Linked DNA regions of Oryctolagus cuniculus. Each later gene encodes a partner of the first gene's protein in a complex. Links are inferred from orthologs where the notes say so. Each region holds a gene or a part of one and is shown on either strand. Other genes may lie near its edges. The genes, in order: RIMS2 and UNC13A.

Region 1 (14,441 bases):
AGCATTTATTTCCTGATGATAGTGAAATTCTTTATAATATGTACTTATAATTCTGTATAATATGTACACTTTAAAGTTAACAATTTTCTAAGCCCATCTATTATGTATTCCATATTCAAATTTCTCAGTTACCCTAAAATTGTTTTAAATACTACTTTGTTTATATTATTTCTGTTTTTTATTTTGTTTTGTTTTCCCAAATAAGAATAAAAAGGACATTCATAGCATTTGATGTTTATATCTCTTTTATATCTTTTAGTCTAGAACAAATCCCTCACCTACTTTTTAATGATGTCAACTTTTTAAAAATACTAATGTATGAATATAATAGACTAATGTAATTTATTCAACACCACTTTGCATATGGTGGACAACTGTAAGTCTTTATTTGAAGTGCATAAAGTATGTTACAAGTAAAAGTGGCACACAACATGTTTTATAGATATCCTTATATTAAAATACACATGAAGTTTTATCTTTTGGAAATGAAATGATCAGTACGCTTGTCTGAACAGTACACATCATTATGTTTGTGCTGGTTTGGGGAAGAATGCCAGTGTGTTTATGGTGCGGCAACGTTAGCTGTGGATAAATAGTCATGATGTGTGAAGAGAGCACGATGCATTCTGTATAATCTGTCACATAGGATTGGGTGTTATGTATATGTACACACACAGGACTCAGCAAACTGTGAGCTGCTTGACATAGTAGATGACTGTATTCTTTGCTTCTGGTGTTTTTTAGTTTCCTATAATACACGTTAAGTTTTTTTTTTTTTTTTTTTTTTTTTTAATGAGGATTACTGAGAAAGAAACAAGGTTGTTTCCTTGAACAATATTCTATGGTTTGGGTTTGTCTGATGTGTGTGAGCAATTTATCTTGTAACTCTATCCCCTTTTGCAAAAGCTGGAAATTGATTCCAAAGATCTGATAGAAACATGTTGTGTATCTTTGTCTAGAACAACTTGATGGGTGGCACTCTGTGTATCAGAAAGTACAGATGATTATCTCACTACTGGTGCTACTAATTAGTGCTACAGGTTCCCCAGTGTTAGAGTACATTTCCCACCCCCTTTAACTATTAGATCTAATTTGTGGAATGATTATTTGCTCATATGAACATCTTTTCCCTGATGTTTCATTTAATGGTTTTAGCCTGCATTGATGAGCCCTGCTTGAATCATTTATTCTTTTGCAGATTGCAAATTGTTAATTTTTAAGCTTTATAATTCCTCTTACATTTATTAACTAACATTTCTCCATAAATAACATCCTTCCCTCTTGAATAGGGAATGCTTTATTGCTTCTTATAATTCATATCAGTACAACATGTTTATTATCAATTATCTAAGATATCAGCCTTATATTATTGAAATAAATTATACAACAGTCATAATTTATATTTTGTACTCTTTAAAGCATTTTGATATGCATTAAAATTGGAAATAGAGAATGAAATTTAAGCAGCGTTTGAAAATGGTGAGCAAAAATCAGAGGCTTAGTGAAAAGAAACTTCAACAAATCACTGGGAATATCAGCAAATATTTATAAATGTAAAAAGAACTTGCTAATACCAGACACTAAAAGAGCTTACCATATGGTTGTATCCCAAAGACAGTACAGTCAATGTGGATAAATATTTAGGCATAGCAAGAAATATATTAAGCCAAATAATTTGGACTATCACCCTCCTGCTGTAGCTTTTGTAGTCTCTCAACTCTACGTTCCAACATGGAAGGCCCTTTGTAATTTGGCTGTTTCTTGTCTAATCCACTCCCCTATCACTCTTTCATGTACTTGGGCCATTGCACCTGCCTTAAATGCACAGTCATCCCCACCTTTACACCTTTGCCCATTCTGTTTCCCTTGCTCGAGACACTGCGTTCTCACTCCTCTTTGCGTCCCAGTCTGCCCATTTTACAGAGCCAATCCAAATCCACTTCCTCAGCGAGGCTCTCTCCTCCCTAACCTCTCCAGATAGCACTTCCGGAGAATGCCTCTGCCGCACCTGTAGTACTCCCACTGGTCTTCTGATCGACCTCTGCAAGTAAACCTCATCTCCCAGCTGTTGGAAGACCCTTGATGACAGGACTCTCCAAGGCTCAGAATTAAAAGCACTTTCATATGATGTTGCTGGATTCTTGCAACTCCTTACGAGAATCTGTGAAAGTTACCAACAAATGTGAGGCTGTTGTCTAATAAGGTTATTTCCTTTGTATAACTCTCTTGCCTTCTGATATCTGTCAGTTTGCAAAAGAACAGATTTTTTTTGTGTTGAAAACTAAGGCTAGAGTTGGAGGATTACTCACCATCTGTTCTTTGTAAATAGTAGGAAGGCCTTGTTCTTTCACTAGGACAAAAGAAAGGGGAGAAAGTATACATAAGGTAATCTGACATTTAACTATTACAATAGAAATAAAAACAATAGGCATAAATTAACCTGACATTTAAATATTACAATGAAAAAAGGCTTATTTTCTTTTCCTTAGGTTGTATCTTCTTTTCTCTTATGTTAACAATCTGAACCCTGCTCTAAGTGGAAATAAGACAATAGTATTTTGCGCTTAAAGTTTTTTTTAGAAAATTTCCATCTAAGACATTGTTTAAAATTTTAACTACCTTTTCTTTCTTTGTATTTAGGCAGTTCTTTTCATCTGAGGATCTCAAAGCATTGGGTGATATTTTTCATTAGCAGCTAGAGATGGCAAAACTGTGATACCTTTTGTTTTCTGTCCTGGCAGAAGCAGGTGGGAAAAAACTACGGAGCACTGTCCAAAGAAGTACAGAGACAGGCCTGGCAGTGGAGATGAGGAACTGGATGACTCGCCAAGCCAGCCGAGAATCCACAGACGGCAGCATGAACAGCTATAGCTCCGAAGGAAAGTGAGTGAGGCTGGCCATGATGTGTGCCTCTTCCAAGTCTTGCCAGGGACCCTTTTCTCGATCTCACTCTCTGCTTTCATAAAAGTCAACCCACGTGCTTCATGGCACCGTCCTAGTTTTCACTGACTGATTTCCTGTGAAGAGAACTTGGCTCACCTCCCACTGGGTGATGTGACATATCTGGCTTTTTATATCCAGGGAAATAAATTTTGGGATAAAGTGTTTTGCTTTAATGGCAAGATGCTAAAATGTGACTCTCACATTACATGCAAAAAAAAAAAAAATACTTTGCCCTAGCTTTAAATAATATATAAAAGCACAAAAATAATAAGCACACATACCACACCATGCAAACAAGACTAATTTTTAAATCTTTGCTTTAACAGTCATTACTAAAAACATGTGAATTTCTGATACCTAGTTTTTATGATGCAGTAGCAAATAATTCTAATTATTTAGTATTAATTTACTTGTGTTAAGTAGTCAAAAAGAAATGCCACCAAGAAAGTTGATAAGCCTTTTTATCTTTTAGTTATCATGGAGCTTTCCTTTGAATCAACTTCCAGAGATATTTTTAAAGCAGTTTAAAGAGTTTGTAGCTCTGTCACCAACAAATTAGCAGCAATTAGCAACTAGAGATCTGTGAATGGGACTGTAAAGAACATTGAGAGAGGAAAGTAGAGTGTACTGAACTCACTGTATCATCTCCATGGGAGCACTAGATGGTTAACAACATAGATGCTGCCAGTTCATGGATGTGAGGCCAGAGGAGCTATTGCCATAGCAGTAAAGGTGTACCCTAAGGATTGTGTGTCTAGCACAACTATGTAAATATAAGAGGCATAGATAGCTTCCATACATTTATAAAGACTTATGTGCTTTTAGAAATAGACTGAAGCATTTTTATTAATTGAATATTTAGCAGTTGAGGTGGGGGAAAGAAATCGATTTTATCAAGGAAGTTCATCAAGGAAGTCTATAATGAGGTGAAGGATCAAATGAAAAATAGATGTTCATCAAGCACACTGACCTTTGTACGATACTGTGTTAGGAAGATACTGTGACAGGCATAAACCTTTAAACTGTGGCTCCAGCTCCAGATATTTATAGTTTTAATGGAGAAATGAGATGAATATTCATAAATTTATCCAAAATATATCACCATACCTTCTAAGGTTTCAATTACCCTGCCATGAGTTGAGGCTGTAAGTCATACAAGGAAGTCAGTCTCAATACTTAAGGCCAAGAGTTTTTCAATCATATATACCTAGATTCTCATCTGTTTGGTTGTTTAATTTTCTTTTGGTGCTGTAGAACATTGAGCAAGTTATTTGATTTTTCTGAGCTTCATTTTAATTGATTGAGCTTAAGTATTTATTAATTACGTGCTTACAATATCCCATGCATAGCTCTAGGAGCTAGAGATCTAGCAGTGAGCCGGCCAGATGAAAGACCCTACCCTCATCAAACTTTCCACATAATGGAGAAGATAGGCAATAAACAAGAAAAAAAAATGTAAAATGTATGTATGTACAAGAAAATCTAATAAAATATATAGGAGATTAGGCATTGTAAGTACTAAGGAGAAAAATAAAGCAAGGAAGAGAGATACAGAGGATGGTCTCCTCTGTCTTCTCGTGGCCTTGCCTCTGCTTCCACTGCTGTCTCCTCTTCCTGTAAGGACACCAGGCATATTGGAATAGGGCTGCCCTCTTATGACCCCTTTTAGCTTTATCTCTTTAAAAGCTTCGTTCACATGCAGTCAGGTTGGGCATTCAAGCTTGAACACACGCATGTTGGGAGAAGACAACTCAGTCTATAACCGGGAAAGAAGAAAGATCAATGTCAGGTTGAACAACTGGAAGAACAGAGTTATCATTTATCAAAATGGGAATCCTCTGAGAGGACCAGAGTTTGTTGTGGAGGGGATTCAAGTTTCGCTTGAGTTTCAGGTTAAGTTTTCTGTCCTGTTATACAGATTTCCAAGCAGATCTGTAGACTAAGCAGTTGAAATGCAGTTCTGTGGCTCAAAAGAGAGGCCCGAGCTGGAGACAGCAGTCTAGGTAATAGCAGCAGAGATGGCATTTAAAACCTTGAGATTGTATGAGATCACCAAGGAAATTCAGACATAAAGAAAATGTAAGGATAGAGCTCCTGTATCTAGTGGCAGAACTGGCAAAGGAAACTAAGGAAGAGTGGCAGAAGGAAGAAAGAGGAAACTTAGGAGGCTATGGAATCCAAGAAGTGCAGAAGGTGTTCCAAGTAAGAGGGGCGGATCAACATACCCAGTACTGCTAATACATTAAGTTAGATGAATAATAACAGCTGGGCTTTCCACTGTGGTCATTAGGTAAGTTTGACTAATGATCAGAACAGGAAAGTTATAGTGGAGTGGTGAAAATGAAAAATGATTAGAGTTTCAAAAGGAAAGAAATGGACTACAGCACTCAGAAGTTTTGCAAGGAGTTCCCAGACAAGAAAAGGAATTGTAGCTGGAGAGAGGGAAGTAGAGTCAGGAAAGGGATTATTTTTTTTTTTTTTTTTTGGTCAAGTGACAGAATCAACAGCATATTTCTACATGGAGGGGAATGATCCAGAAGAGTTTTTTCATTTATAAAATGTGATAAACCATAGAACCGCTCTCACAGCTAAGCCAGGTGGATTAAATAGGATAAAGCCTGGCGTGAAGTAAGTGCTCAGTGCATGTGTAGACCGAGTGGTTTCACAGAGAAATCCCAGGCCCTGTCCTCCAGACCAAAGGAGAGAAAGACTAGGAGCTCGCAGTCCAGTGTGACAGGTGCTTCTGGTGGCTTACAGGGGCTGCTAGCCAACGTGGAGGAAGAGCCAAGGGAAGCAGAGTGGGATGTTGGGGATAAGTCTAAGTGGGCAGTCAGCCACACTGACTATCCTGACACATGAAGGAGGCTGGAGGGAGACTTGAGCTTGCCTGGAATATATGGATAGTGAAGGGTTAATCCCATATGTTGTTTTGCTTTCAGTCTGATTTTCCCGGGTGTCCGCCTGGCCTCTGACAGCCAATTCAGTGATTTCCTGGATGGCCTTGGGCCTGCTCAATTGGTAGGACGCCAGACCCTGGCGACACCTGCAATGGGTAAGAATTATTGCCACATTATTTCATTGTTTTCATGTTATGCTATTAAAAAGTACATTCTCTAAATTTCATAGAGTCTTTAACAATATTATCAGCAAGAATAAAGTTTCTTAGATTTTAACAGTAAGGAAGATTCCTGTTTTTCCGTTATAATTTTACTGCTTTTTTGAAGGAAGACATCATGGCTAAAATTTTAAATTTATTTGAATTTTTTAAGAAAATATATAGGAAATGATCAATGGTGTCATACCATAGTCTTTAGCACTAGCATTTTTCTTGCTGCGTTTGTATATTAAGACATGTTTGTTCCTTCTCCCCATGCCCATAGGTGACATCCAGGTAGGAATGATGGACAAAAAGGGACAGTTGGAGGTGGAAATCATTCGGGCCCGTGGCCTTGTTGTAAAACCAGGTTCCAAGACACTGCCAGGTAAAAACAGAAGAAATTTTCCTATTTTTGTCCATAATTTGTCTTATTTCCACTAACAAACTTTGGATTAAATGCTGAAAACTTTGTTTTTTAGACAATGAAGGATACTCAAAGATGGGTGAATTGTCTGACAGATTTGGGGCTGTAGTAATCATGGTGTTTATCCTAAGTGAGCATTTTTTTTTAAGATTGTCTATTTGAGAGTCACAGTTACAGAGCAACAGGGATGGAGAGGCAGGGAGGGAGAGCAAGCGAGACAGAGAGAGATCTCCCATCCTCAGGTTCACTCCCCAAATGGCTGCAGTAGCCACAGCTGGGCCAATCCGAAGCCAGGAGCCTGGAGCTTCTTTTGGGTCTCCCACAGGGTACAGGGGTCCAAGTACTTGGGCCATCTTCTACTGCCTTCCCACGGCACATTACAGGGAGCTGAATCGGAAGTGGGACAGCCAGACTCAACCCAGTGACCAGAAGGGATGCTGGCACTGCAGGCAGCAGCTTACCCCAGTGTGCCACAGTGCCAGCCCCATAAGTGAGCATTTCAACGAGGGTGAGCTGTTGGAGATAATGTTAATTGTTTTTTTTTTAACTTTTATTTAATGAATATAAATTTCCAAAGTACAGCTTATGGATTACAATGGCTTCCCCCCCATAACATCCCTCCCACCTGCAACCCTCCCCTTTCCCACTCCCTCTCCCCTTCCAATCACATCAAGCTTCACTTTTGATTCTCCTTATATACAGAAGATCAGTTTAGCATACAATAATGTTAATTGTTACCTATAATCACACGTGGTAGAAACCACTGCAAAGTCAAAGCTGCCACATTTGGATAATCCATTTCATCACAACATGCACATAAAAAGCTCTTTTTTCTTGTGAATTGGAGTTTGTGTTACTCTTCCGTTGATCCAGAGCTTCAGAATTTCTTCTGAGGACTCGCTAGTGCTCTGGGATTAGAGTAAAAGCCGGTGCAGGCCCCGCCCAGAGCATGAACCTGTTGTCTGCTGGGTATTCTAATGAGAAGACTTTCGCTTCCTATAATTTATAAACAAAAAGAGGCACTGTTATAAATTTTTATGCCACATATTTCCTGCTGAAATGTCATTACAGTCTAAGATGCCTGAAGCCATGGCAAATGTCACCGTGACTCCAAATGCATTGTGTAGAAGTTGTTGGAGCAGATGTATAAAAGAATCACTCAGGAGGATTCTGAAATAAATGCAGGTCTTAGCCTCAGCACCTTCACTGGTGACTTGTAATTTTGAATCTCTTAACTTCCCTATTCTTGCAGACATTTTGAATTATGTTATTCATTACTGTATGTTACTCATTGTACAGCCTTGAAGTGGTGATTAGGAGAATTGCCTTTGTATAAGTCTGGGAGCTAGTCAGCTCTCTGCTGTAAACAACACCATGATTTACACATGCCAGGAAATGATTCTGTTACTATGTTTTCCAGTTAAATGCTAAGCAGAATTCATAATTAGTTGCCTCTTCCCAGCTACTTTCAACATAACACATAAAACCCCATCACTGTCTTGTACCCACATGGTCACCAACAAGCAAAGGCTTTTGAGTGATAATAAGTGATGTGTGTCGCTCCCCGTCTTCGTGGGGGAACGACACTAAGCCCTGCCTAGGCTTCATATCCGAGTCACGGCACCATTATGTCGCTCCCCGTCTTCGTGGAGGAACGACACAGGACTCTGCGCTGTTCTTTCGTCTGCTCGGCCCTCCCCGGGTTTGCTGCTGGTTCTTCCCGGGTTGGCTACTATCCCTTCCACCTCCGTGGAAGGGCAGTTCCCCCTGGCCACATTCCCCACTTCCGCAGGGGAGCGGCACACCGCCGGCCGGCTCTCTCGGGGGCTGCACAGGCGTTCCCCTTAGATGTTCCTCTTAGATGTTCCTGGTGCATGCCGTCTCTCTCCTCCTTTATAGTCCTCCTCCGCCAATCCTAACTCGGCTGCCCACACGCCGAGTACGCTGCTCTCCAATCAGGAGCAAGTCCTACAGTTTATTGGTTGAACTGGAGGCAGCTGTGTAAAAGCTGTTTTCTTCTCTCCCAGCGCCATATTGTGGGAGAGCAGATGCATAGAATAAGTCTTAATTCCAGTAACTTAGTCCAGTCCGAGCTGCTCCCCACAGATGTGTGAGGATGGGTGAGTTAAAGCAGGTGTACTTACATTTATGTGTTGATGAGTTGAAGAATGAGTAAGACATCTCTCTTGAGTCCTGTTGGAACTGGAAGCATTTCTCATTGAATGCAATTTGTAAATCTATGTAACCTGTTGATAGCAAAATAATAATGAAGTCAGAGGTTTTGGCAACATTGCCTAAGACTCTCTGTATGGTTGACAGTTACCAATTGTCTATTGAGTAGTTTTTCAATAATGTGGGAAGGCCGGTGACTTTTGATGGCTGCTCACCCTCTCAGCCAGAGATTAACCCATTGCGGCTGTCAGCCAGGAGTACACTGGGCATGCCACCGCCACAGCTCATCACGTGCTCTCTCCTTTGTGCTCTCTTTCCCAAGCACCGTATGTCAAGGTGTATCTACTAGATAACGGAGTGTGCATAGCCAAAAAGAAAACAAAAGTGGCAAGAAAAACGCTGGAACCACTTTACCAGCAGCTGTTGTCTTTTGAAGAGAGTCCCCAAGGAAAAGTTCTACAGGTATTTACTTAGCTCTGTATCCCCTGGCCGCAGAACATCTTTTCACAGAGTCGGACTTTAGACCCAGTTATCTCTCCGTCACATTGTTTTCTGTTTCTCACGACTGAAATATGTTGGAAACATCGAAGCAGTGGTCAGTACCATAAAACTACACACACTGTCCTCTTCTTTAAATGACTCGCGAACACCCATCACACATAAACTCCAATCTCCCTGCACGGCTTATGATCTTAGCACTCTGGGACAGTTCTAATGTACTTTTGGATTCCAAAAGTTAAAGAAAGCTACTCCATTAGTCAAATGCCACTACTTAAGTTTGTCTTTGATGTTGGAACACTAACTGAATGTGTTTTATTGTTCAGAGTACTTTACAAGACTTTTGTTATATACATGATTATGCTAACATTATTTTTAATTTTGCCAACAGATTATCGTCTGGGGAGATTATGGTCGCATGGATCACAAATCCTTCATGGGAGTGGCCCAGATACTTTTAGATGAACTGGAACTATCCAATATGGTGATTGGATGGTTCAAACTTTTCCCCCCTTCCTCCCTAGTAGATCCAACTCTGGCCCCTCTGACGAGAAGAGCTTCCCAGTCATCTCTGGAAAGTTCAACTGGACCTTCTTACTCTCGTTCATAGCAGCTGTAAAACTGTTGTCACAGCAACCAGCGTTACAAAAAAAAAAAAAAATCACAGGTCGCCAACCCTGGTAACACTGCATGCTTAATGTTGTGTCTTCTGAGCCTGTTTCTAGGGATACCACGCGATCCTGTGTTCTCAGAGGAAGTTGCACACATTGTGCCCTAACGAAGGCCCTCAGGTGAAAGAGCAGAACTATGAAGAACTATCAGGTTTAGAGTTCAATGACACTCATTTTTGGTCCAATCTGAAGCCATGGATTAATCTCAAAGAATCAGTCAGTTTCATGCAACAGAAGCCCTTTTCAACGGCACCTTTATATTTTTATCTTACCTTTTTCTTCATTTATCTGAACCCAAAGCCCCGTTATGCCACAGAAATGGAGCTGTACAGCCATGAAGCTATGTGACAGATCTAGGAGAGAAGTTCTAGGAAGCATCAGGTGAAAAGCAGAAGACCAAAGAAGTGGTCAGGAACAAAGCATCAGCCCCCCTCTGGATGGTGAACCTGAGCGGTCAGTCCAGCAGGGACAGTGGCAGACTCGGTAGCTCCTGTCAACCCGTCATTCCCTAATGCCAAGAGACTCTGGACTCGGGAAACAAGATTCTGTGGCAATGCTGTCCTGAATGAAATTAAAGAAACTCTTTTTGCATGGACACCGATTAGCTGAATACTTAAATTATTTTCTTGGGGCTGCAACTTGCAAAAAAAAAAAAAACAATAAAAAATCAGCCATTTTCAACAATTTATATTATTTTTAAAAATAAATTTCACTAGTGCATGGTTTTAAAAGGGGAAGAGAATGCAACAGGGTGATACAAAGAACACACCATGTTTTATTCTTTAATCATAGTCTGTGTTTTGGCAGACATTACAAAATGAAAGTACTTTCTAGAAGATACTTAAAATTCTCTTTATGTGACAAATGAGTGTAATAGATTCAATTTATTTCCCTGTTAAATATACAAATCTTATGAAGTTCCATATGTGCAAATTTTTTGCATCTTCCTTCCTCTTCTCTCTCTTTCCTCTTCTCCCTCTTTTACTCTTTTCTTTCTCCCTACCAGAGTGAATCTTGTACTAAAAAGTTACAAATTTTTCATCTGATCCCCTCTTATACCCCATGTTTGATTCAGAGCTATCAAAGCTTCTGAATTTATGAATTTCTCAAGGGAAAACAACTATTTAAGAGCTTTCTTTTATTTCAAGCATGTTGAAAAGGATTTTGCAACATGACTTGGGAGTAAATTGAAGTAAGTCAGCATGTATTTGACAAAGAAGATATCTGAACTTTTGCAATTTATTTGTACAGTGCATGGTAATTTTTTGTTGACCCTCAAAGTTGAGTTTACAGGAAAATCCTAAAATCATGTGGCCATTGTAATGTCTAATGAATTTATTTTAACACCAGCATTATTCATACAGGGGTTAAAGTATTATTTATAGAAGGTCTTAGGTTTTGTTTTGTTTTCTAATCAGTTAAAGCAGTTTCTTTAGCCAGTTTCCATTTACTATGTGTATAGAAACACTGCTAAAAATTTGGAGCCCTGAAACACAGGGCTGTTTATTAATTCATTTTTTCTGTAGTGAAATTCAATTTTTCACAAATTATATTTCTAAAGAATATATAGTAAACATAAATTTGCAAGAATTTTAAAGCTCCAATTTTTAGGTGACTCAAAAAAAGTCAGTATGCCTATTAATAGTTCTTTGATGCCATCACCAAAAGTCTATGTGCAAATCCCTAAAGTCAAAACCCCTGCCTTTGCTTTTACAGACAGTGATTACCATTGGGTGGTGCTGCAAGGTCAAATTTCTCCTAAGTTCCCCTATCTGGGGGAAACGTCACTGGTTAACGTAATCAGCCACCCATATTTTCTGGTTGTTGACATACACTTTAATAATACATTCTTACAGATTGATTTAAATTTCTTATAATAGCTTTTGAAACACATATACATTCCATTTATTTAAAGTAAGGCCATGCACAATTTCTTTTCTTTGCTTTTGTTTTTATTTTATTTTTTTAATTCAGTGCTGACCATTAAAAACTGTTGTGCTTGATATGGTGCAAAAGTTAAAAATGAGTATCACTAAAAATGCCTTCTCTTTATGTGGTGCAATATGAAATACACCGAGACTGTGTCTTGACGTTCTGTGATCTATGATGGACCCAGGTAAAGTTGTTAAAAGAATGGATAAAACTTTATTGAAATAATTTAGACATCTGTGTACCAGCAACAATTGATTTAATAGGCCTGTAGTGTCTACACTACCCCTTAGAGTAAACATTCACCATTCTCCTGATAGCAAGATGCAGTCACATAATCTTTTGTGCATATTCCTATACAAATTATTTCTAATTTTAATAAGAAGGACATGACTGAATGGAATATTTGTACATACTTGTCATTATGCAGTATTTATTTAAAAGTTGGTGTATTTTTTTTTTTAATTTTCACATGTCTGCACCTCAACTTGTGGTTTAGTCATGTAAATAGCACCATGCCAGTGACCATTGCTGCCCTGTACATAGTATGTTTTCAAAGTAAAGGGAATTTCAGTTGGGAAAAAAAGGGCAGATTAGTCCTGTAACAAACACCAACTAATGTAAATCAAATTCATTCTGGTGATGGTATTAACACTTTCAATAAAACATTTTCTTTACAGATGTTGTGTGCAGTGCTTTCTCTGACTTCTTCCCACACATCCCCAGCCTGCCACAGCATGTCCCTAAACTCGCTTGTCATTTAAAGACCACACAGTCGTCATTTCCTACCTCTGCATGGCATAAGTGGACTGCTGGTCTTAGCCAGTAGCCCTCAGGAGAGCATTTTCTTCAAGTACCAAAGACTCTGCTCACTTCACTGGAAGTTGCTGGTTGTTTTTCGTTTGTTTGTTTTTGTTTTGTTTTGTTTTAAGGTTGTTACTGGATTGAGGTGTTCTCTGGTGAAATGATTCAGTGACAAGTTGTATGGGGGTGAGAGGAGTGAGATTCTGAGTTAGTCATGGCCGTGACTGATGGCAGTTACCAAGAATCATGCACAGGCTCTGCTCTTTTCCTGGGCAAAAAGATGCCAGAGGTGGCCGTGATGTATGCTTCTGCGTCTCTCTGCCCAGCGCTGTGGGGTGAGGAGCGCATGCTGCCAGGGCCTGGCTCCGCTGTGTGAGTGTAAATGGGTGAGAGCTTCTCCATATCCTTCTAGGGCGTTTCCCCAAAATGAGAGAAAAAGGGGCCTCAGCGGTGTCCCATCCCTGGCACCCTCCCCAGAGTCCACATGTAAGAGCTACTTTGGTCTCTCACTTCCCAGTTATCCAACTGAAACCCAATCCTAGTGCTCTCCGGTCTTCAAGACAACCATTTCCTCCATTCCCAAGGACTCAATTCCAGTCCAGTTGCCCAAACCACTCCCATATTTCATTATTCAGGATTTGCTCCCTCTTCTAGTGAGCTATATCTTGGCTGTTCATACACTCCCATGATAAAAAAAAAAAAAATCCCCTTGCCTCTCTCATATGCCTTCTCTTGAAAAGCCTGTCTTTCTCAAAAGTGGCCTATGGTAGTGCTTCTCATGACTCCCAGCTCAGAACTGAGCCATACTAGCAGTTCCCGACTGAACCCTAAAATTGTCGCTGCCGTTGATGCCAAGTCCTTCACTCTTCCAGGGACCCCAGGTGCCAGTGTTCCCCAAGCAACAATAAGGAGCATGAAGGTCCCTCTTGTAAGGTCTGTGACAGAATTGGGCAAGAAATCACCAATGCTGTGTGCCTATCCCAGACTAAACCTTTACTGTTCTGTACACATAAAATCATACTCTGTCCATGTTTGTTTACATTCACTCAACACATGGTGCCCTCCCTCAATGTCCTGCTGGCATCCATGGACTAAATAAATAGAAGTTCACACACCCACCTTTGGTTTATAAAATGAGAAGCAGTGTGCAGGAGGAAAATTTTAAGTAAATGAACCAATTTTTTAAAAAGTGTGCCACTCAAATTTTCCATGTGGTTTGACTCAGGTCATTTAATTGCTGTGGAATTCATTTCCTCATCTGGGAAATAAGGAGTTTGAGCTATATACTCTGCTTTCATTAAATCAACACTTAACCAACATATAAGCGTCTTTATGAACCATATCTATTCTTTTTAAAAAAAATTTATTTATCCGAAAGGCATAGCTACAGAGAAAGAGAGCAAGAGAGAGAGAGAGAGAGAGAAATCCTCCATCTGCTGGTTCACTCCCCAAATGGCCACAATGGTTGGAGCTGGACACGTTCAAAGCCAAGAGCCAAGAACTTCCAGGTCTCCCCTGTGGGTGCAGGGGCCCAAGTACTTGGGCCGTCTTCCTCTGTTTTCCCAGGCCATTAGCTGGGAGCTACATTGGAAGTAGAGCAGCCAGCAACTGGTGCCCATATGGGATGCTGGCACCACAAGCATTACCTGCTACAGCATAGCACTGGCCCCTTTTTTCTTCTGTTCTCTAAGAACCAAGAACAATGCTTACCACATAAGTACTCAATAAATAACTGTCAAGCAATGTTTAGTCTGTTATTTCTGAAGCACTAGTCCAGGCATAGTGAAGAGAACATTTCATTCTACTGAAGAAGATACAGGCAATGAAAGATGACAAGTGTGGTAACTTGCCTAACGTGAAGCCCTGAGGATAGAAGGGAGGATACAACACGGCATTTAACCCA
Region 2 (14,831 bases), on another chromosome or scaffold:
GGCGAGGCGGGAGTGCGAGGCGCGGCGCAGGGTGGTGGATCGCGGGGTGGGGGCTCTGAGGCCCAAGGCTCAGCCCTGGGGCCCTGGCAAGTATTCGGGTTCACCTCCCCGCCTCGGAGTGCCCTCCGGCCGCCCTGGGGACCCTAGGTGGGACGGACTCAGACCTTCAAGGACCGCGTCTCCTCCCCCTGACAGGGGACCACGGGAGAGCGTCTCTCTTCCTCCTCGATGCTCCTCTTCCTCCTCCCTCGGGGGCGATCCTGAGGACTCCCTGGAGGAGGCCCAGGACTCCTGCTGAATGGGGGGGGGGCTCGGCGGGCGGGGCAGCATCCCACCCCCTCCTGCCCCGGGGCTCGCTGTCTGATGGCCTGTGTCTCTCTCTCCCCTCCTCTCTGCCTCCGCCCCTCTCCCTGTCCTGTTGTTTCTGTCTCTCCCGGGGGTCTCGCGCCCCCTCTCCTGTCCGGATGTCGGGGTCTCCGTCTCCCTCCCGCCTGCTCCCTTCCCTGCCTCTGTCCACAGTCAAAAAAGCCAAGTTTGACGGTGCCCAAGGTGAGTGCCGTCTCCTGTCCTGCGCTGTCCATCTGTCCGTCTGTCGGGGAGGCTGGGGGCGGGCCTGAGCGGAGACTGACAGCTGGCCGCTGCACCTGCTGCGCGGGGGGCGGGGCCAACGGGGATCCAGATCGCCCTGAGCCAGGGTTCCCGCGGGGCCGGGTCGGAGCTGCCCAGGGCGGCCCGGATGTGCAGGAGCCCCATCCCCAGGCCCGGCGCTGACCCCGCTCTCCCGGCCGCAGAGAAGTTCAACACCTACGTGACGCTCAAGGTGCAGAATGTGAAGAGCACGACCGTGGCGGTGCGCGGGAGCCAGCCCAGCTGGGAGCAGGACTTCATGTTGTGAGCGCCCGCCCCGCCCAGGCCCCGCCCAGCCCTGCCTCCTGTGCCCTCCACCCCCCACGATCTCTGCTCAGGGCAGCCAGGGGCCTAATTTAAAACCTGCAGTCCTAGTCCACTGCTCCCGGCCCAGGCCTGGCTGCGGCTCCTGGACCTCGGACAGTGGCCAGAGCCCTCCGTACGCCCCCACGCGCCTGCTCGCCTGGGGCCCCCTCGCCTCCTGCGCGCACCCAGCTTGAACCCGCCCCAGGAATCCCGCACACCCCAGCTGGCTCCTCCCCAGGGAAGCCCACCCTGACTGCTGGCCCCAAGCTGTGATTTTTTTTTAAAGATTTATTTATGGCCGGCGCCGCGGCTCACTAGGCTAATCCTCCACCTTGCGGCGCCGGCACACAGGGTTCTAGTCCCGGTCGGGGCGCTGGATTCTGTCCCGGTTGCCCCTCTTCCAGGCCAGCTCTCTGCTGTGGCCAGGGAGTGCAGTGGAGGATGGCCCAAGTCCTTGGGCCCTGCACCCCATGGGAGACCAGGAGAAGCACCTGGCTCCTGCCATCGGATCAGCACGGTGTGCCGGCCGCAGTGCGCTGGCCGTGGCGGCCATTGGAGGGTGAACCAACGGCAAAGGAAGACCTTTCTCTCTGTCTCTCTCTCTCACTGTCCACTCTGCCTGTCAAAAAAAAATAAAATAAAATAAAAAAAGATTTATTTATTTGAGAGGCAGAGTTAGAGAGAGAGACAGGCAGAGCCTCCTTCCGCTGGTTCACTCCCCAGATGGCCGAAACGGCCGGAGCTGAGCTGATCCGAAGCTAGGAGCCAGGAGCTCCATCCGGGTCTCCCACGTGGGTGCAGGGGTCCAGGGACTTGGGCCATCTTCCACTGCTTTCCCAGGCTACAGCAGAGAGCTGGATGGGAAGTGGAGCAGCCAGGACTCGAACCGGCTCCCCTGTGGGACACGGGCACTGCAGGTGGCAGCTTCACCACCAGGCCCCAGCGCCAGCCGCTGCTGTGGGTCTCTGTGTTCTGAGTTCGCCCACGCGCAGGGTCTCCCGCTCCCCAGGCCCCCACCTGGGCGTCATTCCAGTGAGAAGCCAGCAGGGGGAGTGCTTGAGCCGCGGGCGCGCCTGGTGGCCCTGCTGGGGTGTTGGGGCCCCTTCCCGGCCCGCCCAGCAGGGGGAGGCGCCCGCCGCGCTCTGCTGTCCTGGGGACTGGGCTGACCTCTGAGCCTCCGTCCCCTCCCCGGGGGGGACCTCCCCTCTCCCCACAGCGAGATCAACCGGCTGGACCTGGGGCTGACGGTGGAGGTGTGGAACAAGGGCCTCATCTGGGACACCATGGTGGGCACCGTGTGGATCCCGCTGCGCACCATCCGCCAGTCCAATGAGGTGGGCACAGGGCCCGGGGGCTCCTGGCCTACACCCTGCGTTCCGCTCAAGGAGCAAGGACTCACATCTGGTCAAGGGCCCCATCGGCAAGTCGCTCCTGGGGGCCGAAACATACATACGTGGTCCCCCTCCAGCTGCAAGGCACTAGGGACACGCGGCCGGAGCTAGGCAGCCCTGGACCCAGCTCCGACATGTTACGGCCCCAGGAGGAGTAAGGGGCCACGTATCGTGGGTCCCAGCTGGGCAGCAGGTGCTGGACCAGAACCTGTCAGTCACCTCCCCGCCCCCACAGCCCAGTCCCTGGGCCTCGGCCCTCCAAGCCCTCCTCACCTCGGTGGGATCCCCCTTGTGAGACCCTGCGCACACCTGGCCCCCTTGGCCACACCCCCAGTGCACCCTCTGTGGCCCCTCCTCCAGGAAGCCCTCCAAGCTCCCCCCTGGGTCCTCCAGCCCTCCCCCTGGCCTGGCCTGGACCTCCCAGGCCTGGGGTTGCCTGTGTCCACTCTTGCTCCTCCCGGCTCAGGGCGCACAGAGGAAGGAGGTGTGACAGTCCATGCGAAGCCTTCGGGGACCCCGGGTTCCTGGTACCCTAAGAGACGGAGATGCCAGGGGTCAGAGTGGCCCCGTCTGCTCAGTGCCTCGCTGGCCCTGAACTGGGAGAGGGGGGTCCTCCCTGCACAGTGGGAGGAGCCAGGCTCCCCCACCCCCTCCTCTGAGGTGGGCGTGGCCATGCCGGGCTGGGGCCCCTGGGACTGAGTCGTGACCTGGGCCGCCAGGTGCAGCAGGTGCACCACCCCCCACCGTGTCCCGCAGGAGGGCCCCGGGGAGTGGCTGACGCTCGACTCCCAGGTCATCATGGCCGACAGCGAGATCTGCGGCACCAAGGACCCCACCTTCCACCGCATCCTGCTGGACACGCGCTTCGAGCTGCCCCTGGGTCAGTGCCTGAGGCGCGGGAGCCCCGCCTCTCGGCTCACCTGCCCCTCTAGGGGGGCGCCCGGGGTGGGGTGGGGGCTTGGGGTGAGCACCAGAGCTGGGCCAGGTTGGAGGGCGGGGCCAGGACAGACAGGGGGCGGAGACTCAGCCGGCGTGGGGCCAGGCCTGGGGGCAGGATCAGGGCTCCTCCAACGTGTGGTCAAGATTGGGGTCGGAGCCAGTGCTCAGTCGGGGTGGAGCCAGGCCTGGGGGCGGGGCCGAGGACTCAGCTGGGGCAGGGCCAGGCCTGGGTGGGGGCAGAGCCAGGCTGGGGGCTTGGCCAGGAGCTCAGTAGGGGCGGGGCCAGGCCGGGGTTGGAGCCGGGGTGGGGCCAGGCTGGGGCGGGACTCAGCTAGGGCGGGGCTTGGCTAGGGCGGGGCCTGGGCGGGGGCGGGGCCGGGCTCACTGGTCACTCTGCCTGCAGACATCCCGGAGGAGGAGGCGCGCTACTGGGCCAAGAAGCTGGAGCAGCTGAACGCCATGCGCGACCAGGACGAGGTGGGCGCTGGCGGCTGGGCCGGGATCCGCCGGGTCTTCCCGCCCCCTCCACTCGCTGGCCCTGGTCCCGACTCGGCTCCGTGTCACCCTCTGCGGGCTCCCAGCTCCGGCCACTGCGGCTCCTGGGCCCTCACCCGCTGCTTCCCCAGGCCACAGCAGGGCGCTGGGTCGGAAGTGGGGCAGCTGGGACTCGAACCGGCGCCCACCGGGGGTGCCGGGGCCCGTGACACCGGGCCTACCGGCTGCACCTGCACCCTTGTCCAGAGGGGAGGCTGGGACAGGCCCGGGGGCCAGGAAGCCCCCAGCCTCCCGGCCGCCCCGCGACAGGCGCCCTCTCCCGCAGTATTCGTTCTCGGACGAGCAGGATAAGCCGCTGCCAGCGCCCAGCAACCAGTGCTGTGAGTGTGCGGGGCCCCGCCCCCTGGCCCCGCCCCCACAGCAACTCGGGGGTGACACGTGGTCCCTGGAGGGGCTCCCGCGCCCCCTCCCTAGCGCACAGGGCCATGGGGGGGGGGAGACCCGGGCAGGTGCACTGGAGCCAGCGCGCCCGGGCCCAGTGTCGGCGCCGGGCAGAGTCCCTGGGCTGCCGCGGGCACTGGCCACGGGGAGTGGGTCCTCCCCGCGGCCCCTGCCTCCCACGCTGTGCGCCTTCGGGCTGCTGGCCGCCCCTCGCTGGGTCCCCGGCGGAGGCTGGAGGCTGAGCGCTCCTAGGCTGGGGGGGCGCTGGCCTCGGACCCCGAAGTCAGAAATCCACGCACCCACGCCCCGCACCCTGTGTGTCCACCCCGAGGCGCCTTGTGGCCTCACGGGAAATCGGGAATTCCCCCCCCCCCCGTCATCCTCCCATGAGCTGAGCGAAGGGTCAGGGTGGAGGGGAGGGACTCGCGGCTGGGGGAGGGGCGCCCCTACGCCCCGCCCCGCTGTTCACCGCCCCTGCCCCTTCCCTCCCCAGGCAACTGGAATTACTTCGGCTGGGGCGAGCAGCAGAGTAAGTTAGGCTCGGGGGTCTCGGCGCCAGCCCCACCCCGCGGGAGCCGGGGGCGGGGCCGGGGCGGGGCTAGTCCTTCAGCTCGGGTGGGGGTGTGGCTCTGCCTCTGGGGCCAGGCTGAGGGCTCAGCAGGCTTCGCGACCCCTCCTCGGCCCCCTCCCCATCCTCACCCCGCCCCTCCCCGTCCTCACCCCGCCCCTCCCCATCCTCACCCCGCCCCTCCCTGTCCTCACCCCGCCCCTCCCCATCCTCACCCCGCCCCTCCCCATCCTCACCCCGCCCCTCCCCGTCCTCACCCCGCCCCTCCCCATCCTCACCCCGCCCCTCCCCGTCCTCACCCCGCCCCTCCCTGTCCTCACCCCGCCCCTCCCCATCCTCACCCCGCCCCCCCAGACGACGACCCCGACAGCGCCGTGGACGACCGCGACAGCGACTATCGCAGCGAGACGAGCAACAGCATGCCGCCGCCCTACTACACCACGTCGCAGCCCAACGCCTCGGTGCACCAGTACGCCGTGCGCCCGCCGCCCCTGGGCTCGCGCGAGTCCTACAGCGACTCGGTGCCCAGCTACGACGACTTCTCCGAGCCGCGGGCGCTCAGGTAGCGGCGGCCCCGCCTCCCGCCGTGGGCGTGGCCCGGGCGGCCTCCCGGTGGGCGTGGCCTATAGTGTGGGCGTGGACCCGCACCCCATGGGCCCTGGTCTTACAATGTGGGTGTGGCCTCCCTGCCCGGTGGGCGTGGTGTCCTCCAGGTGGGCATGGCCTCCGCCGTTCTCGCCCGCACAACCGGGCCACGGTGAGTCAGGGGCGGCCACAGGTTTACCCGGCGACCGTCTCCACTCCCTTGAATCCAGGTCCTCTGGCCCTTGTGGGCCAGGCACTGCCCGGCGCTGGGTTGCTCCGTGAGCCTGGAGTCTGCTCCGGCCCCCCGCCCCCGCCCGCCCTGGCCGGATGGGCAGGTTGGACACTGAGCAACGCGGTGTTAGGCAGGCCGAGTGTTCGGAAGGCACCGGGCGGTGTCCCGCAGGGCCCACAGGGGAACAGGTGGCGTCTGGAATGGGCTCCGTGTGGCCGAACCGTCGCCCAGAGAGGGCAGGGCGTGGCCACCGCGAGGACGAGCGTTAGCAGGTGTCCAGCAGGGGGCGCTGTGGTGCTGGCGGTAGCGCGGACGCTGGGTGATTGACGTGTGTGGGGCCTCCCCGGGAGTCTGCCCGCGCTGACATTTCCCGGGAAGGAGTGGGGGGTAGGAAGCAGGCCCTCAGCTGACCCTGGGCCGTGGCCATGGGTGAGGGAGACTGCCCAGGCTGCCCGGCACTGGACATTCTGGGGGAGACAGGCCAGACACGGACACTCTTCTCCCGCTCCGTGGGGCTCAGCTGGCGGGAGGCCTGCAGAGGGCTTCCTGGAGGAGGGTGCATGGAAGCCCACCAACGAGGCCTCCCCAGAGGGAAAGCGAGTTCCAGCGTGAGGCTGGAGGGCTGGATGGCACCGGGTCATGCAGGAAGGGCCTGGAGGGGGCGAGGACCGAGGAGCCTGGTGGAGGCCCCGACTGGATCAGGTCCCCAAGTCTTGGAGACCACCTAGTCTCAGGTCCAAGCTCAGGGAAGCAGGCCCCGCCCAGCCCGGGGGGGCCGGTGACACGGCCGGTGTGCACTCTGAATTTTCACCGGCAGGGGGAGCTCTGGTCCCTTCCTGCCTCCCAGCTGTTCCTAGGGGCAGCCCAGGATCAGAGGGAGACCTCCGCACGCCCCCCACCCCCGCCGGTCCCTACAACATCCTGGCGGCCAGGGGACCGAGTCACAGCCTGGAGAGGGTTTTTTTTTTTTTTTATTTGAGAGGCAGAGTTATAGAGAGAGAGGGGGAGAGAGAGAGAGAGGTCTTCCATCCGCTGGTTCCCTGACCAAATGCTCTCAATGACCGGAGCTGAGCTGATCTGAAGCCAGGAACCAGGAGCTGCTTCTGGGTCTCCCACGTGGGTGCAGGGCCCCAAGCGCTTCGGCCATCTTCTACTGCTTTCCCAGGCCACAGCAGAGAGCTGGATGGGAAGTGGAGCAGCCGGGACTCCAACCGGCATCCGTATGGGATGCCGGCACTGCAGGCGGGGGCTTTACCCGCTACACCTCGCGGCCCCAGACGGGTGGTATTTTTAAGAGCGGCGGTGATCCAGGCCAGCTCTCTGCTATGGCCAGGGAGTGCAGTAGAGGATGGCCCAGGTGCTTGGGCCCTGCATCCCATGGGAGACCAGGAAAAGCACCTGGATCCTGGCTCCTGCCATCGGATCAGCGCGGTGCGCCGGCTGCAGCGGCGGCCATTGGAGGGTGAACCAACGGCAAAGGAAGACCTTTCTCTCTCTGTCTCTCTCTCTCACTGTCCACTCTGCCTGTCAAAAAAAAAAAAAAAGAGCGGCGGTGATAATGTTGGTTGAGTGGCTGGAGGGTGGCCCCGGCTCATCCTGTCCGTGCTTGGGGGCGGGGCCTGAGCTGGTCGGGGAGTGCAGGAGACCCCCGAAGACATGACAAAGCCTGTGTGGAGTTGGGCAGGTGAAGCAGGTGCAAAGGCCCGGGGGTGGGCTCTGGGGGAGCGGCGAGGACGCTGGAGGGGTGGGGTGAGGGCAGGTGCGGTGGGAGAGGCCGGCGGGGGCCTCCAAGGGGAGCGAGGGGAACCCCACTCAGGATGGGCGCTCTGTCCACAGGGCGTGGGCGGGGTGTGGGTAGAGAGGGCGGGGCGTGGGCGGGGCTCAGGCGGCCCCACCCCCGCTGCAGGATCCGTGCTATGTCCACGTGTGTGGGCGGGGCTGGGCGCCAGTGGGGGGGCTTCGGCGGCCTGGCCCCCGATCCTGAGCCCCCGCCGCCGTCCCGCAGCCCCACGGGCAGCAGCCGCTACGCCTCCTCCGGGGAGCTGAGCCAGGGCAGCTCGCAGCTGAGCGAGGACTTCGACCCCGAGGAGCAGAGCCTGCGGGGCTCGGAGCTGGGCGACGAGCGGGACCCGGACTCCTACCACTCGTGCCACAGCTCGGTGAGCTGCAAAGACTCGCCGCGCTGGGACCAGGATGAGGAGCTGGACGAGGACCTGGAGGACTTCCTGGAGGAGGAGGAGCCGCTGCCCGAGGAGGAGGAGGAGGAGGAGGAAGAAGAGGAGGAGGAGGAGGAGGAGGAGGAGGTGCCGGACGACGTGGGCAGCTACGCCCAGCGCGCGGAGGCGGCCGTGACCGAGCCCAAGGACTTCAAACGAATCAGCTTCCCGGCGGCCGCCCCCGGCGAGGACACGGCCCCCGCCCCGCCCTCTGAGGCCACGCCCGCCGCGCCCGAGGAGCTGCCCAGAGCCGAGCCGGCTGAGCCCCCCACGGCCGAGGAGAGGTAGCCACGGGGGCTGGGGGCTGGGGAGGTCAGAGGTCAGGGAGCGGTCCCAGGGCTGGGGCCGGAGGCGGGGTCAGGGCAGCTGGGCCAGCCAGGGGGGGGCCGCGGGCCAGGAGGGAGGGCATCCAAGGGGCTGGCGGAGTGGGGGGCCCAGGCCGGGAGGCGCGGAGAGCCGGCCCGGAGCCCGCGCGGCCCCTGCCTCAGTTTCAGGCCCCGAGAGGACGAGGAGGACCGGCAGGGCCAGGACTCGATGTCCAGGGCCAAGGCCAACTGGCTGCGGGCCTTCAACAAGGTGCGGCTGCAGCTGCAGGAGGTGAGCGAGCGCCCCGGCCCCGCCCATGCCAGAAGGCCCAGCCCATGCGGGCCCCACGCCCCGCCCACTCTGGCCCCGCCCATGCCAGCCAGGCCCCGCCCACACTCCCTCCCACTCCTGCCCGGCCCCTCCCATGCCAGACCAGCTCCACCCACGGCCTGTGCATGCTGGGCCGGCCCCGCCCACTTCAACTAGGCCTCACCTACACCATCCAGGCCCCGCCCACGCCAGCTCCGTCAGCCCAGTGTTCCTCTCAAATCAGCATGGCCACACCCTACACCCTACCCACACCTTCCTGGCCACGCCCAATGCCCAATACCACACCCATCCGAGCTAAGCCACGCCCAAAGCCACGCCCAGTGGTCACCCTGGCCACGCCCAGTGCTCTGTGCACACCCTGCCTCTGTCCCGCCTTTGCTGGCCTCACCAGTGCTCAGCCTAAACGCCCTCAATGCCTCTACCAGCCTGGCCCTGCCCGGGGCTCCGTGCGCATGCGCCAGCCCCAGTCCCATCAGCCCCCTGGTCACGCCCACGCCACGCCCACACGGGGCCGGCCCCGCCCACGCCCTGCACCTCCTGCTCCCCGGCCACGCTGACCACACCCGTCCATCCGACTGTCCCGCAGGCTCGGGGGGCAGGAGAGATGTCCAACTCGCTGTGGTTCAAAGGCGGGTGAGTGGGGCCCCCGGGCGAGGGGCGGGGAGCAGCGCCCAACCCACCCCGCGATGCCCGCCTCGAACCAGCGTGGGGTCCTGGGGCGAGGGGCAGTCGGGTGCGGCCGAGCCTCAGGCGGGGCCCTGGGTCTCCGCAGCCCCGGGGGCGGCCTGATCATCATCGACAGCATGCCGGACATCCGCAAGAGGAAGCCCATCCCGCTCGTGAGCGACCTGGTGAGCGCCGTCGGACGGGGCGGGGCACAGACCCCGCCCCCCCACTGCAGGGGCGGATCAGGGGCGGGGGGCCTGGGGTCAGGAGCGAGGGGCGGACCTGGGGGCTGGGGTAAACTTGGGGCCTGGGCGCGGACCTGGGGGCGGGGGGGGGCAGGGGGCGGACCTGGGAGCTGGAATGGGTGGGGGCTGGGAGCCAGGGGCAGGCCTGGGGGCCGGAGGCAGGGGCTGGGGGTGGACCTGGGAGCGGGGGGCTGGGGCCGAGGAGCGGGGTGGGGGGCGGGGGCCAGGGATGGACCTGGGGGCTGGAGCTGGGGCTGGAGGCCGGGGGCCAGAGGGGACATGGGGACCAGAGGCCCGGGCTGGCCAAGCCGACCTCCGCGGCTAACGCGGTCTGACTTCCGCCCCGTGTGCTGCGTGGACCCTTCAGGCCATGGTGAGTGACCTGGGTCTCCGCCCACCCCGGACCCCTCCATGCAGCCCTGACCCACCCGTGGGCTCTGGGAGGACCCCGCGGGGAGGGGGCGCCCAGGACCCGCTCTGACCGGGATCCTCTGTCGCCTCCTGCTCTGACGCTGCCCCCGGCGGGCGGTCGTGGCTGCGAATGCGTCCTGCGGCCTCGTTGGCCCCTCGCTGCCCGGGACCCCCGGGCGCCTGCGGCCCGCACAGTCGCTGGTGCAGTCCCGGAAGGCGGGCATCACGTCGGCCCTGGCGTCCAGCACGCTTAACAACGAGGAGCTGGTGCGTGGGCCGCGGCGGCGTCGGCGGGCTGGGACCCCCCCCCCACCCCGGGAGCGCCGCACAAGCCCCTCCCTCCCCCGCAGAAGAACCACGTGTACAAGAAGACCCTGCAGGCGCTGATCTACCCCATCTCGTGCACCACGCCGCACAACTTCGAGGTGTGGACGGCGACCACGCCCACCTACTGCTACGAGTGCGAGGGGCTGTTGTGGGGCATCGCGAGGCAGGGCATGCGCTGCACCGAGTGCGGGGTCAAGTGCCACGAGAAGTGCCAGGACCTGCTCAACGCCGACTGCCTGCAGCGTGAGTGGGGCGGGGCCGGAAGCGCGGGGCAGGGCAGTGGTGGGGCGGGGCAACAAGGCAGAAGGCGGCCGGAGGGGCGGGGTGGGGCGATGGGGCGGGACCACTCAGAGGGGCGGGGCAGCAGCAGTGGGGCGGGGCGGGCCCGGGACAGGGCAGGGGTGGGACCGGGACGGGGGCGAGGCCTGGGCGGGGCTGTGGCGATGGGGCACGGAAGGGCCAGGCCAGAGGGGCAGGGCAGTGTGAGTGGGACGGGGCCAGGGGAGGGGTGGCGGGGCAGGGCGGGGCCGGCGGGGCTGGCGCTGCGGCAGTGGGGCGGGGCAGGGTGGGGCAGGGCAACAAGGCAGAGTGGGGCCAGGCCAGAGGGGCGGGGCAGCAGCAGTGGGGTGCGGTGGGGCAGGGTGGGGGTGGGGCCATGGCAATGGGGCGGGGTAGGGCCAGAGGGGCAGGGCAGCAGTGAAGAGGCGGGGCAGGGCTCAAAGTCCTGGGGTGGGGCGGAGGCAATGAGACAGGGCGGGGCCAGAGGGCGGGGTGGGGCCTCGGCATGGGCGGGGTTGGAGGGCGGCGAGGCAGGGCCCTTGGGGGCGGGGCTGGCGGTGCCCAGGACAGTGAGGCCGCGTCCACAGGCAAAGCGGAAAAGAGCTCCAAGCACGGGACCGAGGGGCGGGACTGGAGGGGTGGGTGGGGCCTCGATGTGGGCGGGGCCGGAGGGGCGGGTCAGTGGCAGCAGGGCGACAGGGCAGGGCATGGCCTGGCGGGACGGGGTGGAGCAAGGCCATAATGGGTGGGACAGGACCAGAGGAGTGGGACAGCAGAGGTGGGTGGGACTTCAGGGGGCGGTGAGGTGCTGGAGGGGGCTGGGTCATGCCAGAGGGGCAGGGCGGGGCCGCAGGGGCGGGGCGTGGGCTGGGCTGGGCCTCGGTATTTGCCCGGCCTCCGTGAGGCGGGGCCCTCGGGGCGGGGCTGGCGGTGCCCGGGACAGTGCGGCCGCGTCCACAGGCGCCGCGGAGAAGAGCTCCAAGCTTGGGGCCGAGGGGAGGGGCCGGAGGGGCGGGGCGGGGCCTCGGCGTGGGCGGGGCCCTCGGGGCGGGGCTGGCGGTGCCCGGGACAGTGCGGCCGTGTCCACAGGCGCCGCGGAGAAGAGCTCCAAGCACGGGGCGGAGGACCGCACGCAGAACATCATCATGGTGCTCAAGGACCGCATGAAGATCCGCGAGCGCAACAAGCCCGAGATCTTCGCGCTCATCCAGGAGGTGTTCGCCGTGAGCAAGAGCGCGCACGCGCAGCAGATGAAGGCCGTGAAGCAGAGCGTGCTGGACGGCACGTCCAAGTGGTCGGCCAAGATCAGCATCACTGGTGCGCACGCGCGCGGCGGCCAGCAGGGGGCGCGCCCGCCCAGCCCCGGTGTCCGAGGGCGGCGCTGAGCGCGATGCGGCCGGCAGGGGACGCCCTGGGCAGCGGGGACTGGGACTTCTGGGGACCTCGGGCCCAGGGCGTGCGGCGAGGGCTCCCCGCCCAGCAGGCCTCGTCCCCGTGCCTAGCCCCGGCCCCTGTCCTGTGTGTGTTCCAGTGGTCTGTGCCCAGGGCCTGCAGGCCAAGGACAAGACGGGGTCCAGTGACCCCTACGTCACGGTGCAGGTCGGGAAGACCAAGAAGCGCACGAAGACCATCTACGGGAACCTGAACCCTGTGTGGGAGGAGAATTTCCACTTGTGAGCGCCCGGCCTGGGGGTGGGGCTCCCGGCGGCCCCGCCCCTGCCTGACCACACCCCGCCCCGCTCCGCAGCGAGTGCCACAACTCCTCGGACCGCATCAAGGTGCGAGTGTGGGACGAGGACGATGACATCAAGTCCCGCGTGAAGCAGCGGTTCAAGCGCGAGTCCGACGACTTCCTGGGGCAGACGATCATCGAGGTGCGCACGCTCAGCGGCGAGATGGACGTGTGGTACAACCTGGGTGAGCAGGGGGCGGGGCGGGCGTGGGCGGGGCCCGGGAGGGGCGGGGCGGAGCCCAGGGAGCCAGCCAGAGATCAAAGACCTTGTGTGGTACAACCTGGGTGGGCGGGGGGGGGGGGGCCGGGGCTCAGGGCGGAGCGGGGCGGGGCCCAAGGATCCAGCAGAGGAGTCTGGTGGGGGAGCCGAATCAGAGGGTGGAGGCCAAGTCTGTGACTCCCAGCCCGAGGGAGGAGGCAGAGCCCCCGAGCCCCAGGCTGCTGTGGGCAGGTGTCTGGGCTGAGGGAGCCCAGGACACTCTGAGTTCCGGTGGGGCAGGGGGGCTCACCCCAGGAATCCCGGGGACCCGGTCTGAGGGGGGAGGCGCGGACCCCGGACTGAGGAGGGAGGCCGAGACCCTGGCACTGACCCCGGTCTGAGGGCAGAGCGCCTAAGACGTTCTAGTCCGAGGGAGGAGGCACAAGGCTGGGAGCTCAACGAGGTGAGGACCCAGAGTCTGATTCTAGGGGTCCAAGGGGCCGTGGAACCTCACACATGCGCGCGCACAGACACACGTGCACACACGTACACACACGTGCACACAGGACACACACGCACACGCATGCACACGGAGGCCGCCGGGCTGCGGACCTCACGTGCCCCCACGCCCTCGCCCTCAGACAAGCGCACGGACAAGTCGGCCGTGTCGGGCGCCATCCGGCTGCACATCAGCGTGGAGATCAAGGGCGAGGAGAAGGTGGCCCCGTACCACGTGCAGTACACCTGCCTGCACGAGGTGAGCCCCGCCGGCCGCCGCCCGGGCCTCCTGTCCACGCAGAGGAAGCCCCCTCCGCCGGGAAGCCCGCCCCAACTGCAGCCCTGTCCGGGGACTCGGGTCCTTGATGGGTGGGTGGAGCATCCCGGGTGGCCGCGAGGCTGCACGGACGTGAGCTGACGGACAGCAGCGCCGGCGCCGGCGCCCGTGGCCGTAACCGCCCTCCCCCGTGGCCGCAGAACCTGTTCCACTTCGTGACAGACGTGCAGAACAACGGCGTGGTGCGGATCCCGGACGCCAAGGGCGACGACGCCTGGAAGGTTTACTACGACGAGACGGCGCAGGAGATCGTGGACGAGTTCGCCATGCGCTACGGCGTCGAGTCCATCTACCAAGCCATGACGTAAGGGGCGTGGCCAGGGGCAGTGGGCGTGGTGGGAGTGACAGCAGTGAGGGAGGTGGGGCCTGGGAGTGGGCGTGGTGGGGTGAGCGACAGAGGTGAGAGAGGCGGGGCCAGGGAGGAAGTGGGCGTGGGGTTGAGTGACGGCTGTGAGAGAGGCGGGGCCAGGGGAAGTGGGCGTGGCGGGGAGTGAGTGACAGCGGTGAGAGAGGCGGGGCCCCGGAGTGAGTCCATGTACTAAGCCATGATGTAAGGGGCGTGGCCAGGGGCAGTGGGCGTGGCGGGGAGTGACAGCGGTGAGAGGCGGGGCCCCTGAGTGAGTCCATCTACTAAGCCATGATGTAAGGGGCGTGGCCAGGGGCAGTGGGCGTGGCAGGGTGAGTGACAGCGGTGAGAGAGGCAGGGCCAGGGAAGCAGTGCGCGTGGCGGGGGTGACAGCGGTGGGGGGCCGTGCTGGGGCCGTCTCGGAGGCCCCGCTCGGGCCCAGCATCTGCCGCCCCCTCGCAGCCACTTCGCCTGCCTGTGCTCCAAGTACATGTGCCCCGGGGCGCCGGCCGTCATGAGCACGCTGCTGGCCAACATCAACGCCTACTACGCGCACACCACCGCCTCCACCAACGTGTCCGCCTCCGACCGCTTCGCCGCCTCCAACTTCGGGGTCAGTGTGGGGCGGGGGCCGGCGGGGGGCGGCCTGGCCCGGCGCCGCGCTACTGGGTCCCCCCGACTCTGGGCCCGGCCTTGCTGTGTGACTGCACCCGTCACCGCCCTGTGGACTGGGGTCGGGACGTGGGGAAGGCTCAGTTCCGTCTGCAGTAAGCCCCACCCACCAAGCCACGGCGGCGGCCCCGCTCCCCGACCCCCGCGCCCACCACGTCCGCCTCCACCCACAGAAAGAGCGCTTTGTGAAGCTCCTGGACCAGCTGCACAACTCGCTGCGGATCGACCTCTCCATGTACCGGGTGAGGACAGGCGCAGCCCCGTGCCCGGGCGCGCGAACACAGGCGCGTGCACGCGTGTCCCTCTGCGCATGCGTGTGCACTTCTGCGCCGCGCCAGCCCCCAGCGTGCGCCCCTGCAGCCAAGCGTGATCGCGCAACTGTGGGAAGGGGTTGTCGTCAGCCCTGAGTCCTGGGAGAAATTGGGGGACCCTGGCAGCCCCCTCCCCACCGCCGACCACCGCCGAAGCCGCGTCTCTACCCGCTCTCAGCCTGTGTGATCCCAACTCCCCACCCCTCCCGACAGAACAACTTCCCCGCCAGCAGTCCCGAGAGGCTGCAGGACCTCAAGTCCACCGTGGACCTGCTCACCAGCATCACCTTCTTCCGGATGAAGGTAGGGGAGGGAAGGAGACCCTGGCCCATCGTCGCCCGCCCCTCCCCCACGGAGGTGGTGCTGGGGCTC

What was found.
Region 2: the proteins of RIMS2 (region 1) and UNC13A are in contact, whole or in part, in a crystal structure (PDB 2CJS), measured with the Rattus norvegicus proteins. The link is inferred for Oryctolagus cuniculus from reciprocal best matches to the Homo sapiens genes RIMS2 and UNC13A. Residues at the interface, in XP_063118965.1 of Rattus norvegicus: Asp102, Gly103, Cys104, Ser109, Gln112, Val123, Leu125, Ser127, Asn128, Lys129, Val134, Met135, Trp136; in NP_074052.2 of Rattus norvegicus: Tyr23, Ile36, Trp65, Leu69, Ile70, Trp71, Asp72, Thr73, Met74.

What each region holds. Positions count from the first base shown.
Region 1 is NC_091437.1:129,437,091-129,451,531, forward strand, and holds the end of RIMS2 (regulating synaptic membrane exocytosis protein 2), read left to right. Parts: intron 1-2,741; coding exon 2,742-2,883; intron 2,884-5,882; coding exon 5,883-5,995; intron 5,996-6,323; coding exon 6,324-6,425; intron 6,426-8,958; coding exon 8,959-9,098; intron 9,099-9,525; coding exon 9,526-9,744; 3' UTR 9,745-9,818; downstream 9,819-14,441. UniProt on the Homo sapiens protein: Rab effector involved in exocytosis. May act as scaffold protein. Plays a role in dendrite formation by melanocytes.
Region 2 is NC_091447.1:65,393,666-65,408,496, reverse strand, and holds part of UNC13A (protein unc-13 homolog A), read left to right. Parts: intron 1-519; coding exon 520-549; intron 550-791; coding exon 792-891; intron 892-2,149; coding exon 2,150-2,267; intron 2,268-3,080; coding exon 3,081-3,204; intron 3,205-3,666; coding exon 3,667-3,740; intron 3,741-4,083; coding exon 4,084-4,138; intron 4,139-4,692; coding exon 4,693-4,728; intron 4,729-5,121; coding exon 5,122-5,329; intron 5,330-7,589; coding exon 7,590-8,084; intron 8,085-8,288; coding exon 8,289-8,397; intron 8,398-9,022; coding exon 9,023-9,069; intron 9,070-9,208; coding exon 9,209-9,287; intron 9,288-9,714; coding exon 9,715-9,720; intron 9,721-9,953; coding exon 9,954-10,025; intron 10,026-10,108; coding exon 10,109-10,328; intron 10,329-11,453; coding exon 11,454-11,681; intron 11,682-11,895; coding exon 11,896-12,037; intron 12,038-12,111; coding exon 12,112-12,281; intron 12,282-12,936; coding exon 12,937-13,052; intron 13,053-13,270; coding exon 13,271-13,434; and 7 more. UniProt on the Homo sapiens protein: Plays a role in vesicle maturation during exocytosis as a target of the diacylglycerol second messenger pathway.